Drosophila melanogaster: one gene and its partner. Changing the gene in region 2 together with the main gene of any one other region gives a genetic interaction. Each region holds a gene or a part of one and is shown on either strand. Other genes may lie near its edges. The genes, in order: twe and bol.

Region 1 (5,261 bases), on a different chromosome or scaffold from region 2:
ATAAGTACGACAGGTTCAGAGAGTTTAACCAGGAGTCCCTCGATCCCATTTCCCCCCTCCTCTCCCCTCCCCATCCTCCTTTACCTTTCAACAAAAGAATGCGCACGTTTGAGCTAGAGGTCAATGCTGCAGCTGTCTGCCTTCGCCAAGCTGCGTCTGCGCTGTGCAATTTCAGTTTCTTCTTGACTTTGTTCAACACGTCTCATAGCTGCCAGCTAGGACACCAAGTGTCCCTGCTCGGACGCCACTGTTGAGACCCGGATTTGAATTGAAGAAACTCTTCTTCGCTCAGCGCTGCCCCGCGGCTAGGCGTACCGCATTTTCCCACAAGGAGAGAGACTATGAGAATGATGAAGGATACAGCCAATGCATGCAAGGCAGCTACATTGTGTCAACCACGCCTGCTCGCCTGCTCGCCGCTCGTCCGCATTCGAAATATTTGATTAAGGAAACATTATGCAGGCCGTTCATAGTTAAAGGAAAAGAATCGTGAAGAATATATAAGCCAGATCATACGAAAACAAACACATATTACTACATACATTCATGCTCTATGAAAACAAAAAATTATGTCAAATAAATGGTTTTTCCTTTTTCCCTCAACAAAACAATCAATTTTTTATGTTTGCGGGTATTTTGATGAGGTGGGCTCCTGAAGGAGTCTTTATATTTTATAACTATATTATTTATATCACTAGCTTTTGGTAAAACTATACAGCATTATGAGTACCTATAATTGCTCCTCTTCGATTTGCAAATCTGTCGAGAAGACATACATGTCCCGTCGTCTGGCGAAAAGCATTTCCTGTCGCTTGGGATGAGTGGCTAAGGAGTGGACGACGCCGCCATTATCACCTGACGGATATATGACAAAGGAAACCCACATGTTAATATATGTATATAGCTAATAATCAAAGTTCAACTTCACTTGCTTACTTATGCGAATGCGCTGCAGTACTTTCCCATCGAGCAGGTCGTAAACAAAGGCGTCTCCATCACTGGAGCCCGTGACTATTTGGGCATCGTTTGACAGTATTCCGCACTCGATGTGGTAGTCATCGCCGCGATGTCCCCTGTACTCGGAGAGTAATCCGCCGGTCTCACAGTCCAGCAGACGAACCACACTATCCTGACAGCCGGCCACCAGACATTGCTCGTCGCGCGTCTGCGCCAGATATGTGATGGGTTCACCAATTTTGTCGCAGGTAAGTTCGCCCACCCGAATATCGTAGGTCCTCACACATCCGTCCAAGGAGGCGGCGTAGATGCGATTCTCGTTGGTTGCCACCGTGGTGATGCAGTCCCGGGCCTCCTTCATCACCTGAACGGGATCCAGGCGACGCGTTCGAATGTCCCAGCACATTACGGCATTATCTCGACCCCCGGAAATGGCTATCGAGGAGTCCTCGTTGAAGCAGACGCATCTAACACCTCCGGCATGGCTACGCAGGCGCCGTACTGGTGCTCCTGAAATAGGCGAGAGAAACATTAGCCATAATTGGTGCGCTGTGATTACAACTCACCCGTTGACACGTCCCAGTAGATAATGCTTTTATCCAAGCTGGCGGAAACGATATAGCTACTATCACAGCTTCCCTGCAATATGCCAAAGTGGAGTACTTAATAATAAGAATAATACTAAGTGAGAAAAAACTATACCGCCGCATCGGTGACTTCATCCGCATGACCACCATAAGTCTTAAGCAGTAATCCCGATGCCGGATTCCACAGCTTTATCTTCTTGTCAGATCCACAACTCAAGCAATAAGTGCCATCAACTAAAGATTAAGGATCAAGATGAGTTAATGCTTAAAAATCGGGCACTGAAAACCATTCACCATTATAGCGCACAGCTCGCACTGCACCTTGTTTGCAGTCAATTGTGGTTTTTACGTTAAAGTTCTCAAATTCCGGCATATTTGTATTAAAAACAATAACACAACTGCAGCACGAAAAATATAAACAAACGGACAGTGTGACCAGATGTAATAAATGTTAATATGTTTTTGTCAAATTTTCCACTGGAAAAATGATATGATTCATAATTATAATTGTGGAATGTTTTTATTTTATTACGCTCATTAACGATTATTCTATGTATCTTTTTCTTATAACTATTTAAAGTACAAATTTATTGATTGAAAATATATTGATTTCATCGCATATTATGGTGGTAGAACACGTTATCATTAAGATGGCTGCGCTTTTTAAATTCAATTTCATTGCTCTTTGTCAAATAAAGTTGAACCAGCCATGCAAATACCAACAAAAAAATATACAAGCAATTTAAATTCAAACTAGAGCGTCCTGTTTAAATACGGCGCAGTGGTGAGTTAGCAGGTGGTGGGTTTGCATCGGTAGAATGGGGAATTGATAAAGGCGCCAATAAAGTTGACCGCCAAAAGCGAAACAAACAAGTCGACAGAACAAGAAAATCGTCAAGGATTTGGCAATCGAAATCACTGCGCACGCTGGAACCCAAAATCTGAACTTCCCAATAGTTACGTATATCGCAAATAGATCAGGGTAAGAACAATTGCGAAAATCCAGCTGATTTTAGCAGCTTCCAGCTGATAAAAAAATCATTGTTTTTTTTCTTTTTAACGCGCAGATGGCGAGCAAGCGGCTAATGCTCGATGTGGAGGAAGAAGATGATGAAAGTGGAGCGTGTGGTCAGGAGAATTTCGATCCCCATGATGCCGATATGGAATACCAGGCCAAAAGGCGAAAATCAGCCGTGCAGGAGACTCCGCTGCAATGGATGCTGAAGCGGCATATTCCTGCCAGCACCACCGTTCTGTCGCCCATCACCGAATTGTCGCAGAATATGAATGGAGCCCGCCTGGATGGCACTCCCAAGTCCACCCAGAGAATCCCAGCCAACAGGACCCTGAATAACTTTAATAGCCTGTCCTCGCGAACACTCGGCAGTTTCAGTAGCTCCTGCTCGAGTTACGAGTCGGGCAACTCGCTGGATGATGAGTACATGGACATGTTCGAAATGGAATCAGCCGAGAATCACAATCTTGAGTTGCCCGATGACTTGGAAGTGCTCCTCAGCGGACAGCTGAAATCGGAAAGCAATTTAGAGGAGATGTCCAACAAAAAAGGCTCCCTGCGTCGCTGCCTTAGCATGTATCCCAGTGAACAGCCAGAGGAAGCGGTTCAAGAACCAGATCAGGAGACCAACATGCCCATGAAGAAGATGCAACGGAAAACTCTATCAATGAACGACGCCGAGATCATGAGAGCACTGGGAGATGAACCAGAGTTAATCGGAGATCTCAGCAAGCCATGTACCCTGCCCTGTTTGGCGACAGGCATTAGACATCGTGATCTAAAGACCATCTCCAGTGACACATTGGCCAGACTGATTCAGGGCGAGTTTGATGAACAATTGGGAAGCCAGGGCGGATACGAGATCATAGACTGCCGTTACCCATACGAGTTCCTTGGCGGACACATACGGGGAGCGAAGAATTTGTACACACGTGGGCAGATACAGGAGGCGTTTCCCACGCTGACCTCCAATCAGGAAAATCGACGCATCTACGTCTTCCACTGTGAGTTCTCCTCGGAACGGGGTCCCAAGCTATTGCGCTACCTGCGGAGCAACGACAGAAGTCAGCATACCCACAACTATCCGGCACTGGACTATCCTGAACTTTATATCCTGCACAATGGGTACAAGGAGTTCTTCGGTCTATACTCGCAGCTATGCCAGCCCAGCCAATATGTACCAATGCTGGCACCGGCGCACAATGATGAGTTTCGATATTTTCGGGCCAAGACCAAGTCCTGGCAATGTGGCGAGGGCGGAGACAGTGGAATCGGCGGTGGAGGCTCTCGCGGCCTCCGGAAATCACGTTCACGACTGCTCTACGCCGAGTGACCATTTCAGGCTATAGATACAATTCTCGAATCGATCCACCTGCCATAAGCTCACAGAGATCTCAATGAGAAACGATGGCTGCCCAATTTTACTCATAGAATTATTTTGTAATATTTAAGGACGCACATTTTAAGGTTCATTTCTTGTTGCGTTGTTCAAATGTTGTGAAAGCACTTTATATTTATTTAGTTCTTGATTTTGTATTATGTTCCACGTTGTGTGGACACAGAGCACCCAAATGGGAACCACCAAAGATGGGAAGAAGAACAGAAAATGGATATATGTTCTCTAGTCAGTGTATGTAATAGTTTCAAAATTAATTAAAGTTCATTTTTGTGTTCGGAATTTAAAAGTTAACTTAAGAAAGTATTTCATATTTTATTTTAGTATTTAAGCATAATAATCTAACCATTGGATTTAAGAACTTCAAAGGAAATTACGAAAATTGTCTATGTATGAATACAAACTATGCTGAAACTATTTATGTGGATTCCACCTACATCGGTCAACTTTTATTAAAAGTATCTAAAAACAATCATTTAATACACAATTTAAAAGTTTTAGGATGCATAATGCTTAATTAGAACAGGAGATGTAAGAATACTCATAAAATATTTCAAGAAAATTCGTGATACAAATTTTAAATCAAATGAAGAAAAATGTTCCTTAATTTATATGCTATTATAGTTTATATATATTACAAAATTTTAAATGCTTTAAGCTATTGAAGAAATATGAAGAGAACAAATAATTTGTTACTGATCGAGATAATAAAAAGGACCACTATTTTTGAGAACAGTTATAAAATACTTATCATTTTATTCATTTTTAAACAATTTCTAACATTTCGAAACATAATTCAGATATTGAAATGCTTTACTGTGTGTGCCTTCAGAGATTACGACCAGAATAGGTGTTTTAGTACATAAGGAAACAATCCTTCAGTCATGAAAGATGCACTACTAATCATCATTTACAGGTCCTTCAAAGGGAGCCTTGCAACCAGCCTTTTCGTAAAACTCGAATGGCAGCGGATCCTCGTTGTCGTAATAGTCGGAATCGCGGGCGCAACTGGGACCAAGTTCCATTTTCACCATCTTGTCGCGCCAAAAGTCGAGAAGCTCTTTGGTGAGAACCTCATCCCTCAGATTGAAAATCCAACTGTTGTAGTCGTCGGGCCCATAGAAACCAGCATCACCCTTGTACTCCTGCAGCAGCTCGGCGGCCTTGTTTTGATCCTCCGCTGAGGGTGTGCCATCGAAGAGCAGCTTCCAGATTATCTCCCTGGCGGCTGCCGCTATCTTCTTCACGCTGGCCTGGTGAACGCTGTCCGGAACGATGATTTTGGTCAGAACAAAGCGCTTCATTA
Region 2 (5,070 bases):
CAAGAATACGGAAATATTTTTGAGTGGATGCTCTCTGCGAAAAATATATGCACTACAAGAAACTTTGACAAATTATCATGCTTATGTATAATATTTAAAAGTGCCACGAAAACTAAAATTAGCATAGGTATTTTACACTATGAAAACAGTACAGTAATTTTGTTTTAAGTTTAAATCTTCAGAAAACTATAACTTATAGAATCTATACAATTTGTGTATCAGATTGTGTTTGTGTCTGGAGAAAATCAAATTAAATATCGCCTGCTTAATGTTATCAATTTAATGAGCCAAGTTGGGAATTCCCTCCTGGGGGTTGGTCAAATCGGCCATCAAAGTTGGCATGCCCCAAGCTGCGTGAGAAGGGCCGGCGGAAAATCAAAGCCACTTTTTGCGCTCTTAAGTGCAAAAATTAAACACAATCAACCCCCCAAGGCGAATCTCTTACGCTCGCCCCCCAAATTTCTCTCCGCTTTCTCTCTCTCTCTCTCTCTCTGTCGAATTTCTCGTCCGATATTTTCCCATATCATTGGCTCTCATCACTGCTCTTCGTGTGCATTATTTATTGCTCTTATACAGCCCGAATGTTTGACGATGACGAAGGTGCTCCACTGTCAGTGTCACCACCCCCGCCCACTCTCTGTAATTCAGATTCCCCCTAGCTCTCTCGCTCTCTCCCTCTCGTTCGTCACCTTTCCCTTTCGCTCCCTTGGCTGGAGCCCAGTTAACTAGTAAACCAGCAACCTATAATGGAGCCTCTTCCGTGTTGTTATCCCTATCCCACGACGTCGCGTATTCCCCACAGAGAGAAAAATCATCGGCCATTAGTCATGAATTCGCAACGGTTATGATGTAATGATGAATTATCTGGGGAGTTGTTTTTGGATACGTATTTGCAGTGCTCTCTACCCTTGTCTAGAATAAATTTCCACCTATAAGTAGTTTTTAGAGATAGACATCTCATGAACGAAAGCTGTTTCCTTATCCATTTGATCTCTACTCATACAAAGAGATTCTTGAGATGCAAACATATGCAGTATGATATGATATGAACTCTTTCACTGATTTTTCTCAGTGCACTATCCCAATTCTATCCCTTTTTCGCATCCCGGAAAATGAGCACCAGCTGTCTGCCATTTGCCTTCAATTTTCCCCATTCATGTTTGTTTTGCTTTTCGCCTGACTGTATAATAAATAACTTTGAAATAAATCAAATCGGATCCTGGGCCAATGGACACATGTTAAATGGACCGAGAAATCTAAGCGGGGCATCATCACATTTTTTTATTGGATCAAAATCAACAAGAGCAGCGTCGGCGACCTTAAAACGCATTAGCAGCCGCTGTCGGCCAAGTCGTAATAATTTTATTAGCAAACATCAGAAATATAAAAATGCCGCTGCTCGGAGGCAAAAGAAAAAGAAATAAAAGCGGCTACAATTTCGAAAGGTGTTGGCTTTTTCAGAAGTTCAAATTCAAACGGCGTGTGAGTCGGTGGGCGGGGGGAGGGGCTGTGACAAGTGCAGGCGTGCTCAAGGTAAAAGCGCCGCCGCCGCAGTCGCCGTCGACGCTGACAGCGCTGTCGACTGCAACTCGGCCGAAATCCGAGTGCAAGATCAAGTGAAGCGAGTGGCCGAAAAACTAGAGAGAGGCAAAACTACGAAAGTCGGAGAGCGAGCCATTTATCATTTTACATCACAAAAGATAAGCTGGCGAATAGGAGATACTCAGCATATACATATATGTACATTCACATACATATGTACATACATGTGTAAGTTAAAAAGTAACTATCTTTGTATAAAAGAATCTAGCAATTAATAATAAATAAAAAAGCAGTTCTGCCTCTAGGAAAATTATATTAGGGCCTAAAAATCTCATGTATTGACCTTATATTATTATAATATTATTTGTTATGCTGACAAAACCACATATGTTTTGTATGTACTAATTATCAATATTTCGTGATATGATTAAACGGTTTTATTGTGTAGAATCTATACTAATAAGCTGTTCTACAATATTCCCTCACATAAGTACAGGGTATTTAAGTTGGTCGCGCGGGTGACAGACATTCTGTCTTTTTCCCACCTTTCGCCGCCCTCTCTTTCGCACACGTGCAGCGGCACTACATGTTGTTGTTTTGTTTTTTAGGCATTCTGGAGGCGATGCTGTTTAGGCCGCTTTTAGTCAAGTGGCCGTGCAGCGACGCCAACTGCGGCAGCGCAGCTGCGACTAGATGAAAAAGAACAAATTGACTAAGCACGAAACACGTTTTAGCCAGAGTTTTTAGCCAGACTAGCAGCTCGAATCGGAATCGGAATTGGAATCGGTGGGAGCGGGACGGCGTGTGACATACTGACCCAATTCCGGGTTTCGATTTTCTGGTTTTTCTCAAGAATACACGTTTTCCGCTGCATAAACACACACATAAGCGTACGCGGGAGCGAAAGAGGCAGAGCGGCCAAACGAGTTGCATGGCCAAGAATTTTCGCCTGGCATTTTTCATTTTCCCTGCGAGTGACATTCATCCTCCCCCCACCCAAAAGCAATCCCCTGTTCTGTCATCAGGAAAACTCACCGTTAGCTGCGTCCTCCTTGGAGATTTTTCTGATTGCGTCCAAACTACGTCGTTTCCACAGGCTGCCTTACGTTACGTCTTACGTGAGAGGGGACACAGTTTACAGTTACAGCCTTTGCGTATCATTAATATTCCTTGTGATGAACGTTTATCCCAGATACGATGCGTTTGTATATATGTATCTTAATATCCAGTATTCAATATCAATATCAATAACGTCGGTGATGAACAAGAACCAGAAGACCAAAAACGATGGGATGATGGGATGATGGGATTTAGCTTGATATTCTCTTGGTTTCTTTTGTAATTTAATTATTTGCTCTTCTTTCTTTTCCGATATTTAGTGGTGTTTACTTGTATATATTATTGTTGTGTGTTCCGATTTAAAACAATTTTACTTGAATATATATATATATAGCACTAGACAACTTACTTCCTACGAATCACAATTAGAAATGAGTGTAAGGCGACGACCGAAAGGAAAACTCCCGTCAAAATGAAAAACTACGCGCCGTCTACTTGGGCGGCCGAGAAAAACCAAAACACTGTGGCGACACACCACATGTGTTTTTCTCTTCCAAAAAACCCAAAATTCCAAGGATGGTGGGGGCGATTGCAAAGGAAAATTGAAGCCAGGAAAACTCTCTTCAATATTTACCGTTCACCGTTTAGCGATATAGCACAACAATTTTAGTTCTACAACTGCTCTCGTGTAATGATGAACTCCAATTAAGAACACAAGTCCGTTTTAAGTTGAAGGCAGCCGTCGGGCTGACATATATTTATTCAATTTCTTCTTTTGATTTTAGAGTAGGCAGAAATGGTTCTGTCAGCTCAACGTCTACAGAGTCTCTCCGATTTTACAGTTTTTTATATATTTTGACTTAGGCTAATCCGCGTAGCTGCGCTGCCGGGTACGCCAGCAGCGGAGCGGCGTTCTTATGTATATCTTATATATCTAGGCTTATCGGGAGAGCGAGATATGTATGTACGTATGTAATATGTATTTGGTCGGCGTGTGAATGCTGACCATGCACTTATACTTTTTGCCTTCGAGTGGGCAATGCACTTATACTTTGTGGCCTTCGAGTGGGTGATCATGTTACATCCGCCCTGGCCTAACTGCGTGCATAAACATAAACATAGCAACAAAGTGCTGCCATAAGTTAATATGCTATTTTATTTAATTGTTCTTAATATTGCATAGGCACATACTACATCTCCCTCCTTTTGAAAAATAACGTAACCTAGTGAAGTTATTTTGATTATTAAATGCAAATTATTTTATTTTTATTTTTATTTTGTTTGTGTTTTTGTTTGAACAACAATAGTTGATTTTATAATGCAAAGATAAAAATATACGTAGTGTATGGAAAATTTGTATAAATGATTAAGGAAAATATAAGTTTAAATTCAATCATGAATGAAATTTCTTTAATCTATCTTTATGAACTATTTGTTTTTTGTTTTTATTAGTAAGTAGCGTAATATTGTTATTATCTCCTATGCTTTCTATCTTATAGGGCCCCGTATATTTAAAGTCTAATTTATGACCTACCTCATTTCTTAGTAAAACTTTATCTCCTACTTCTAATTCTATGTCTTTTATTTTTAAGTCATAATTTTCTTTATTTTTTTCTTTGTGTGCTTCAAGAAGTTTTCTTGCTCGAGCATATGCTACCTCTAACCTATATTTACTCTCCTTAGCGTAATCATCTATGTTATATATTGGTTCTATGCTATGTAGTTTATTAAAATGTTTTGGTAAATTACTTGTTCTACCGAAAACTAATTCATATGGACAATAATTATGTACCATAGATTGGGTCGTGTTGAAGCAGTATACGAAATATTGAAGCCATACGTCCCAATCGGTTTTGTCCGTCGATATGTAGGATCGTATATACTCGTTTAAAGTTCTATGACTTCTTTCTACTACTCCAACTGTCTGGTGGTGATGAGCTGTTGATGTTATATTTTTTATTTTCAAATATTTACACAGGTCAGTAATTATTGAATTCTTATACTCTGTTCCCATGTCCGTTATGAACGTCTTCATTGGACCGTACTTTAGAATAAAAGATTCAAATATAGCTTTTGCGACTGTTTTTGCGCTTTTATTTGCTATTGGTATGGCAACTAAGTACTTGGTTAAATCACATATGAGAGTGACTGCGTACTCGTTACCATTTTCTGACTTGGGTAGTGGACCAATTGTGTCCACAACAACTCTATCGAAAGCATGTTCTGGTGTTTCAGTTATCGTCATTGGAGTCTTTGTGTGCTTTGTTGTTTTTGCTTTTTGGCATTTTTGACATTTTCTTACGTACTCTTTTATGTATTTACTCATATTTTTCCAGTAATAATGTCTTTTGACCTTGGCCAAGGTTTTTGTAATGCCTGTATGCCCTCCTTGTATTGGATCATCATGTAATGTAGACAATATAGCTTCTTTTTCTTTTTCATTATTTATTTGGGTCACCGGGTTAAGTA

The links.
Region 1: of bol (region 2) and twe, changing one suppresses a phenotype caused by changing the other (phenotypic suppression), as found in Drosophila melanogaster (one study listed by BioGRID).

What each region holds. Positions count from the first base shown.
Region 1 is NT_033779.5:16,258,856-16,264,116, reverse strand, and holds twe (twine), read left to right. Parts: upstream 1-2,239; 5' UTR 2,240-2,526; intron 2,527-2,611; coding exon 2,612-3,892; 3' UTR 3,893-4,703; downstream 4,704-5,261. Other genes in the region: CG4935 (uncharacterized protein), read right to left, coding at 731-855, 937-1,467, 1,524-1,596, 1,660-1,778, 1,839-1,917; EndoGI (endonuclease G inhibitor), read right to left, coding at 4,855-5,261. UniProt on the Drosophila melanogaster protein: Required during meiosis. Regulates the transition from the extended G2 phase to the onset of the first meiotic division.
Region 2 is NT_037436.4:9,127,320-9,132,389, forward strand, and holds the start of bol (boule), read right to left. Parts: upstream 3,037-5,070; 5' UTR 2,578-3,036; intron 1-2,577. UniProt on the Drosophila melanogaster protein: RNA-binding protein that plays a central role in spermatogenesis. Required for meiotic entry and germline differentiation, at the transition between G2 and M phases of meiosis I.